Linked DNA regions of Danio rerio. The protein of the gene in region 1 purifies or fractionates together with the protein of each later gene. This does not show direct contact. Links are inferred from orthologs where the notes say so. Each region holds a gene or a part of one and is shown on either strand. Other genes may lie near its edges.

Region 1 (4,527 bases):
AAGGCTGGACCAGAATATCAGATTAATTATTCACCTGTTTAGCATTCATTTTCGTTTTGAGATTCGAATAATCTTTTTATACTATTTATTCATTGTTTAGTCCTATTCTATTTAAAGGAATTCATTTAATTTTACTTAAACACTTAACAGTAGCATACTTTCAATGAAAAATTCACATATTTTAATTAACAAACCGTTTAAGTTAAATCATAGTGTATACACTCACCGGCCACTTTATTAGGTACACCTTACTAGGTGCTTACCAGTTTGCCGTCAGAACTGCCTTAATCCTTTGTGGCATAGATTCAACAAGGTACTGGAAATATTCCTCTGAGATTTTGGTCCATATTGACATGATAGCATCACAGAGTTGCTGCAGATTTGTCAGTTGCCATCCATGATGTTAAACTCCCGTTCCACCACATCCCATGGATGCTTTATCGGATTGAGAACTGGCGACTGTGGAGGCGATTTGTGAACTCATTGTCATGTTCAAGAAATTAGTCTGAGATAATTTGCACTTTATGACATGGCACGTCATCCTCAGAAGATGGGTATACTGTAGTTATAAAGGGATGGACATGGTCAGCAACAATACTCAGGTTGGCTGTGGCGCCGACGCGATGCTCAATTGGTACTAATGGGCCCAAAGTGTGCCAAGAAAATATCCCCCACACCATTACACCACCAGCCTGAATCATTGATAAAAGGCAGGATGGATCCATGCTTTCCTGTTGTCGATGCCAAATTCTGACCCTACCATCCGAATGTTACAGCAGAAATCAAGACTCATCAGACCAGACAATGTTTTTCCAATCTTCTGTTGGTCAATTTTGGTGAGCCTGTGGGAATTGTAGCATCAGTTTCCTGTTCTTACCTCACAGAGTGGCAACCAGTCTGGTCCTCCTGTACCCGGTGTGGTTTGACATGTTTTGTATGCAGAGATGCTCTTCTGCATCAGTTGTAACAAGTGGTTAGAGTTACTGTTGCCTTTCGATCAGCTAGAACCTGTCTGGCCATTCTCCTCTGACCTCCGCCCTCAGCAAAGCATTTGTGCCCACAGAACTGCCACTCACTGGATATTTTCTCTTTTTTGAACCATTCTCAGTAAACCCTAGAGATGGTTGTGCTTGAAAATCCCAGTAGATCAACAGTTTCTGAAATACTCATACCAGCCAATCTGGCACAACTATGCCACTTTCAAAGTCACTTAAATCACCTTTCTTTCCCATTCTGATGCTCGGTTGAACTGCAGGTCTTGACCACGTCTACATGCCTAAATGCATTGAGTTGCTGCCATGTGATTGGAAATTTGTGTAAATGTGCAGTTGGACAGGTGTACCTAATAAAGTGGCCAGATAACGTCAAGCATTTTTCAACTGGCTCAGTGAAGTCAGTGGTTTAAATTTTGACTTGCCCTACCAAAATTTCACAGAGACAAACAAATACACACACTTCTTGATCTGCACTGCTTGACATTAGCCCAGCTTCATTAAAAATGGCAGAGAAAATAACCATCAAACATTATCTCACTAACAGCCCCATAAAGCTGCTGAATTTTTCCATGTCACAATTGAAGAATTAAAATCAATTCTCCTTACTTTAAAAAATCTTGCAGGTAGCTGAGAAGCAGAGCTAGACTCTTTTCATCCAGAGGTGTGTAGGCCAGCATTGCTCCAATTCTCACTGGCAAAAGACATGAAAGAGACCATATCATCAATTACTAAAATTAAACATGAATGTAATTACCAGTGATGAAAAACTAAACCTTCTCTTTGATGCAACCACTAATTTTTTAGCTCTTTTAACTCATTCAAACCTTCATTGCTGCGTTTGAGGTTCGATTAAGCCTTGAGGATTAAATTATGGGACCGGGCTACTATAGTCTTTAAAAAACTACTATAGAATTCAAAGCTCAAATTAAACATTTAGTGTCCTGTAAAATATTAGAAATGGACTTTGCTATACAGTTAGCTAGCTTTCAAAACACATTTTAATCTACAATGATGAAGGGCAGTGGGTTGCTGAATAACTATAGAGAGATTTCAGAGATTTTTTACTGCCTTTCTACACCTCCCTTATTGCGTTCAATACTTTTTCTCTGCATCATTTCATTTTATTACACATAACTTCATTTGTATACCAATTAGATTTGTTTTCTTTGCATATTTGTATTTATTTGGTTGTTAGCAACATCCTGGGAAAATACCAGGTATACAGCTAGTAAGCTTTCAAAACACAATATAGCTTTTAAAGTCATACCAAAAAGTCTCAGCAAGTGCGGTGCTCCGTAGATCTGAGACATGGATGTATCTGGATGGTTTGCGAGGATCTCTGCATACTGCGGCCTCTCAAACTTGTAGAGAAGCTGAGTGCCCAACATCACGTTGAAGTACTCTCGGATTCCAGCAACCACCTCGTTCACGGCGTATTCCCTGAGAAAGGATCAAGCATACAGTATGAGTGTCTCTCCAAAAACTGATAAATATAACATAACAAATGTAAGAAATTAGTTACTACATATAATAACTTCTTAGCTGATTACACTGGATAAGACGATGGTATACAAACACACTTGTTATCAGAGTTTCCTCTTGATTTCTTGTAATTTGCATAGTCCTCCAGGACAGCATCCACATTCTTTTTTGCAGGCAAGTGAAAAAGCTAAACAAAACACAAAAAAATTTAATAAACAAAATGTATTTTCCACGCAAAGTACATTTTAAAACTCAAAATATAATTCTATGACCAATTTTCAAAATTCTGGCAAACACACAGTTAAAAAACTTCATCATATGCCTGATTTATACCATTACCTCATGTTTTCCCATTTAAATTGTAGTTATTGTAGTTTGTCAAGTTAAAATACATAGAAATGAGAAATGATGCTTCAGCAGATATAAATAAGCCTACATTTTAAATTAAAGCATCTTTAAAATATTTGATTTAAATGTCATTTTAAGGTTTTAAATACGGATTTTAACAAATAAATTGACTATACAGTGCCATCTAAGGATGCAACGATTATAGATTTTGGTTGTACGATTCTAGTCTGAGGAATTATCACACGGTTATCACGATTATTATGCATTATTCATTAATTCCAAAACAATACTAGTTTCTTATGAACACTCCTTAAAGTGTTATTTATTGCTGCTCAGTATCCATCTAACACAGCACAAACTAATAATAAAAAACAAACAATAGTCTATTTCTCTTTGGACTTATAAATAAGTGAATCATGTTTTTGTCGTTTGGATACAAGTAATAATTTTACACTGAAAATAAATGACAGAACAACGAATAAATGAATAAATAAACAAAAACAGTATTTCTCTAAAAAAAATCTAAGCTATATATTAGCTAAGAATTTCCCAAACAAATGTAGTCAAAGACTGCTGGACCACTGTCGAAAAAGTACATTTGATCAACCACATTACAAAATTGTTTGGTAGCCTATTTTCCTTTGTATTTCTACTCCAAAGAAAAAAAAAATACAAAAGTATGAAGCTGAGCGGTCAGTTTTAGTCTCGTGACTCGCGATGCACTTGCAGCATTCTTTCAACTAGTTGCATCTGAAAAGGACCCTTAAATAACTCTATTGGAAATAACAAACTTGTGTGCGCAAAAGAAGGGATGTGTTACATTCCTTAGTTAATAGCCTCAGCCATAGTTAAAATCAACCTTTAATTTAGTGTGTGCGGGTATTCACCTGTGTAAAGGCTCAGAACTTTAAACTAGGGCACAGTTGGCATATCCTTGTTTAGTTACAGCAGTTTTGTTCCATGCAGACACACGGTGTTAAAAAGCCTTTACGATTAATTAACAGTGATGAATTAAATCGCGGTTAATAGTGAAATCCGTGTATCTTTGCATCCCTAGAGCCATCCCCCTTTTTTTGGTCTGTCATTCCATATTATCAATATATTCAATAAAGGAGGAAAGCAGGAATTGGATTACGCTAAGAATGAAATGAGGCTTTATTTACCTGCTTCTGTCTCGTAATCAGGTCCCAGTCATCAACCAGCCATGGTTTTAATTCTTCAGGAATTTTTACTTTTACTTCTACTCTGTTGATAAAAGTCTCCTCCTGCACACAAAACCAGCAAGGCCATCAAAAACAGCCTCACTCTTAGCATCTGTTAAGACCCTTCTTTGGAGAAAATCATGTTTTTAATATTGTTTACTTGTCAATCTTGTCAATATGTGTAAAAGACAAACCATGCATTAGGTATATTCTCCATTTACCTACCACCACAAGCATGTAAAAAAAAAAAAAAAAACAAGTCTTACATATGCCATATTCACTTATTTATTGTTCAAAGAATCTAATATGTTACTAGGTACAGTATCCGTGTATTATGGCAAACCGAACAGGTTTTTGTAAAATTAGCAACACATTCTTAATGGTTTATTATATGTTGTGTGGGGCTGATTTGCAAATGTATGATTGTCATTATTTGCTCACCCTGGTGTTGTTGCAATGCAGCATGTCTGTTTTTCTTTTTCAGAACACAAAAAAAAATA
Region 2 (5,287 bases), on another chromosome or scaffold:
ATACTTGAAACATCCAGGCAGGTGTGTTGAGGCAAGTTGGAGCTAAACCCTGCAGGCCCTCCAGGACCAAGATTGGTGACCCCCGCTCTAAAGTTTCAGCTCAAAATACAGATCAGATTATTTATTATAGCCTACATTTTGGTGTCTGAGCACAGTGTAGCTGCTTTTGTCGCCTGTGGCTTTAAATGCAAATGAGCTACTTCTCCCTGCCCACCGCTTCCACGTGCGTGTCTGCTTCTCATCATGCGCTACGTCAGATAAATAGCAGTCAGTGACAGAGACATGGATGAAGCTGAAATACAGTTGATTAGTCAAAAATACCACTTTTTTTATGTATTTGAGGTGGAATTTATTCAAGCCTTTCTGAAATGATGAGACTCACACACACAAACACACATATTAGCGTTTACTATGCGGCTGTCGTGATTATAGAGGTTAAGAATTACATGCCAATTTTACTGTCTTTATTACAAATCTGCTCTATTTTAAAAACAGACAGACTTAATAAAATCACAGAAAATTGTAACATATATTAGACATGGGCCGGTATAAGATTCTGACGGTATGATAACCTCCCTGCTAAAAAATCCAGCTTAAACCAGCCTAGGCTGGTTGGCTGGTTTTAGCTGGTCGACCAGGCTGGTTTTAGAGGGGTTTTGGCGGAGTGCTATAAACCCAACAAGTCTCTTTTTTATTTACTGACGTTAAATTCGGAGCCAAATCCCAGTGATTTTGATGCCCACTGCAACGTGATGTAGGAGTCCGGTTTTCCCCGCCCACCAAATTGATTGACAGACGCCATGTATCGATAATAACATGTACACACGTCCACAGAATTTTTTTTTTGCTTGACTAGCCTGGTTTAAGCTGGACATAGCTGGACATAGCTGGTTTTGGCTGGGCTCCCAACCTGGCTAGGCTGGTCAAGCTGGTTTTAGCTGGATTTAGCTGGTCATTTTCCAGCCTGACCAGCTAAAACCAGGCTGGAAATGGCTGGAAACCAGCCTGGAAGTGGCCAAAACCCCTCTAAAACCAGCCTGATTGACCAGCTAAAACCAGCCAACCAGCCTAGGCTGGTTTAAGCTGGATTTTTCAGCAGGGCTTGAATAAAAATATCACGGTTTCATGGTATTGTGATTACTGCTCTATAATATAAAAATATTTTTTCAATGTCTGGGTAAAAAACAAAGACGTTGTTCCACTTTGAACACAATACATTTTATTTTGAGAAATATTTTAAATATTTTGGAGAAGTAAACATGTCAGGCTAAATAATTCAAATGAATCATTGACTTCTGCTGTCTTCATTTGTTTCAAAAACACTGTTTTTTTTACAATTTAAAATGGCATTTTTGGATATATTTTCTGCTGGAGATACTGTTGTCCTAAAAAAAAAAAAAAAAAAAAATGTAAATAAAAAATCTTACACATACCCTAGGATTGGTAGAAAATTTCGACGATTATAAAACCTTGACTTTTCCAAACCGCGTTATAGCTTGAAAACGGTTATCATCTCATGCCTAACAAATGTTTTAATCAGTTTTTTTTGCAAAAAAAAATGTTCTGTGGACGTGTGTACATGTTATTATCGATACATGGCGTCTGTCAATCAATTTGGTGGGCGGGGAAAACCGGACTCCTACATCACGTTGCAGTGGGCATCAAAATCACTGGGATTTGGCTCCGAATTTAACGTCAGTAAATAAAAAAGAGACTTGTTGGGTTTATAGCACTCCAATATGACTGTCAACACTATACATACACACAGTTCTGTCCAAAAAACTTCCAAAAGTTGACTTTCATCATTGGTGCACTTTAATCTATGTTACGCCTCGCAACTTTGCATCAAATAGAAACACAAAGCACCACAAAACAAAACTAAACTGGCTAACGTAATGTTGCCGGCAAAAGCATTGGGATCTGCTATTAATCTGCACTTATATTTCAAATCTTCCCCGACCACAAATAAATGCCTGAAATCACTGCTATCCACTCAAACAGCTCTCAGTCAGCGGGAAGCTTCTGGTTTCCTTGACAGCGGAGTCAGAGGTCAAAGGTTGCTCAAGGGCTCCAGACACCACTTTCTACACTTTCCTCCACTTCTCAGACATCTGCTCCAATGGGGAAAAACTATAACCAGGCAAAGGCGCGCGCAATTTGCACGTGCAATGAACCCTATTGTGAACGAGGTTAACTGAGGATGATCTACTGGCAGGTGCCACTGAAGGTTCGTTTCTATGAATTAAGCCTTTTTTATGAACACTTAAGGCTCGCTGATCATAACTTCTGAATGAATGAACACCGTAACACTTTCCAAGCCGCATTACGTTTAGCAATAACAAACAAACAAAGCGTTACGCGCATGTCATGCATCAAAATACTGCGTTTTCCCTTTCTAGTTCGAACAAATGTACTCAAAGAATACACAAACATCTAGATTACAGAGCATTTATAGCACATTTGAAGTCTAAATGCAGAATAAAGTATGAAGAACTTACCTTAGCGAGCTAGAACGGCGTTCACATAATTTGCGGTCAAAATCCTCCCAGCATGGTCGCTCGGATATTTATCTTGAAATTGCTGATGTACCCAAAAAAAGCAAGAGGGAAAAAGGCGTCACGTTTCTCGTAAGAACATTCCAACCAATGTATGACATAACAAAACATTAGCCTAACGTTAGTCTGTTGATCCAGTCACCCCGCAAGTAACGATATTTATCTACGTGAGGCGCACTGGTCACGGTTTATGATCCTAATATAACGTTAGCTAGCATAGCTCGTTAGCGAAGAGCATATATATTGAGCTCAACCTCAGGACACTACTAAATATGTCCAAACCCAGTCTGTGTGAAACAATAATAGCAAGTGAAAGGGTTACTACAGCGGGACGTCAAAATACCTTGCTGCCATTGCAATTTTGAAAGACACATGTCTGGAGCAAGGTAAGTTGGTTTTGCTCAACATCGAGGCTGTAACCACACGTACACAACGTCAACGGCCATCCAATTCACGTCTATGTGTTGTTTACAACCCTCTATACGAGTGAATTCACACCCGCTAATCACTACTATCAACCCCACACTCTTAACGAAACGACTGAGCTGTCCTGTCAAGACACATTTGCTGGCATTGCTAGCAAAACCCCCGCGATTTGTCCATACGAGTAATGTAACGAAGCAACCGCTGCTGGTGCGAAGGGAATGAGTAAACCGTCCCCTTCTCCATCAGGCCTTCAGTAAAAAATAACAAAAAATGAGCATAAATATCCTCGGAAGGACCAAAAGAAGCGGAATGCAAAAATCTAACGCTCTCCGGGATGAGCCCTGCACGGGTTATTAAAAACACGAACTGTCAACAAAATGGCGGCTGCTGCGTTGAATCAACAGAGGGACCCGAAATGGATCTCTCCCTCAAATTCTTCCACCTCTCCCCTGTCTCGTGTGCGTCGCTCGTTACCCGTGATAATCCGATATGTCGCCCGAAATTCTCTCCGGGTCCGAGTTAGTGAAGCTCTGGCTCGTCGGAACGGGCCTCTCTCGTCAATCGGGCCTCCATGTCTGCTTAGCCCGTATCGTTTCTGTCAGTACAGCACGGGCATTCTCACAGGCGGAGCGGGAGGAGGAGGAGGAGTGGACGGCCAGGAGGGAGGGAGGAGAGGGCAGTTGTCGACTCGACGGCTGTTAGGCACTTTCTCCTAGAAATTCACTTACACACTTTTGACTAAATCTAGGGAGTAATGTTTTTTATTATGGTCCATGATATAAATATACAACGAACGAGCACACACTCTGTAACGTTACCTAATTCTGAAAAATGTTGGTTCGTTAAAAGAAAATGTAGGCTATGACTCCTCAAAAGGGGGCTCGTGTTGTCGCACGCTCGTGGCAGTGTTTACCCACAGTGAAATATCGAGACTCCCGTGGGAATCGTAGCCGTGAGGCGGGTTGTGTAACCGTGTGAGTGAGCAGAATCATTAGGAGAGGAGCTGAATATGTTTTAAATTAATGATTCACTTTAAAGCCCCCTGAAATCATTTTAAGTTTTTGTTTCAGATTATCTGTAAGATTGTGAGCTCCAAAAAGGAGTCAAAAATCACATTTGGAAGATAGAAAAGTCAGATTTTAAAATTGCAGTTTATCACTTTCACTTTTTTATGACATCACGATGCACTTCATCTTCTCATCAGATTATCTGACCATCAAATGCCCTTCAGTGAAGCATTCCCACTCCCCGAAACAATTGGTCATTTATTCGCATGTAATTAAGCATTTATACCAAGGTTTGCTATAACAATTATACCAAGGTTTGTCTAAACACTTGGATTTATGAAGAATTTTCATGGAAAGTTGATCTAAACTCCTTAACGTTTAATATCTAATTAGCAGTGCTTCTCAAATGTGTGTTTTAAGTTAATCATTTACTTTAAATCCCCCTAAAAAAAATTTAATTGTTTATTTTCGGTAATCTATAAGATTGTGAGCTCCAAAAGGAAGTCAAACTTTACATTTGGAAGATGTGAGCATTTCACTGTTTTTTTGACATCACCACACACACATCTTCTCATCATCTCAAATGCTCCTCAGGATACGAAGCATCCCGCCCCCCACTAGACACAGCTGGAATTGGTCATCTATTCACATGGAATTAAGCATTCATACCAAGGGTTTGACTGAACACTTGCATATATGAGAAAATGTAATGGAGTGTTGATCTGAACTGCCCACTGTTTATCATCAAATTAACTATGTGTTGTTTTTGTTTTTTGTTTTTTTATCGAATCTGTGTTTTGGATTAATCTTTCAGTTTAAAGTTCCCCTGAAATCATTTTGAAGGGGTTTGTATCTTAAGGTTATCTATAAGAGTGTGACCTCCAAAACGACATTTCGAAGATACAAGTAAGCATTCACAAAATCAGTTTATCCCTTTCACTTTATTATGACTCAATCTTCTCATCAGATTTTCTGACCATCAAATGCTCTTCAGTGGAGCAATCCCACTCCCCATAACAATTGGTCATTTATTCACATGTAAATAAGCATTTATACCAAGGTTTGCTTTACTAATTATTCCAAGCTTTGCCTAAACACTTGGATATATGAGGAAATGTAATGGAAAGTTGATCTAAACTCCACTTTTATTATTTAAATAATCGTGTTTCTCAAGTCTGTGTTCTAAGTTAATAATTCACTTTAAATCCCCCTGAAATTTTTTATTTATTTTATATTTTAGGTCATCTATAAGATTGTGAGCTCCAAGTCAAAATTAACATTTGGAAGATGTGAGCATTA

Evidence for each region.
Region 2: the proteins of morf4l1 (region 1) and ash1l purify together in Homo sapiens (affinity purification with mass spectrometry; 4 studies listed by BioGRID and IntAct, counting the BioPlex papers as one, with this or other methods). This does not show direct contact. The link is inferred for Danio rerio from reciprocal best matches to the Homo sapiens genes MORF4L1 and ASH1L.

The regions. Positions count from the first base shown.
Region 1 is NC_133193.1:21,428,215-21,432,741, reverse strand, and holds part of morf4l1 (mortality factor 4-like protein 1), read right to left. Parts: intron 4,091-4,527; coding exon 3,989-4,090; intron 2,665-3,988; coding exon 2,576-2,664; intron 2,436-2,575; coding exon 2,263-2,435; intron 1,687-2,262; coding exon 1,602-1,686; intron 1-1,601. UniProt on the Homo sapiens protein: Component of the NuA4 histone acetyltransferase (HAT) complex which is involved in transcriptional activation of select genes principally by acetylation of nucleosomal histones H4 and H2A.
Region 2 is NC_133194.1:10,091,506-10,096,792, reverse strand, and holds the start of ash1l (histone-lysine N-methyltransferase ASH1L), read right to left. Parts: upstream 3,585-5,287; 5' UTR 3,456-3,584; exon of another isoform or gene 2,899-3,455; intron 2,581-2,898; 5' UTR 2,499-2,580; intron 1-2,498. UniProt on the Homo sapiens protein: Histone methyltransferase specifically trimethylating 'Lys-36' of histone H3 forming H3K36me3. Also monomethylates 'Lys-9' of histone H3 (H3K9me1) in vitro. The physiological significance of the H3K9me1 activity is unclear.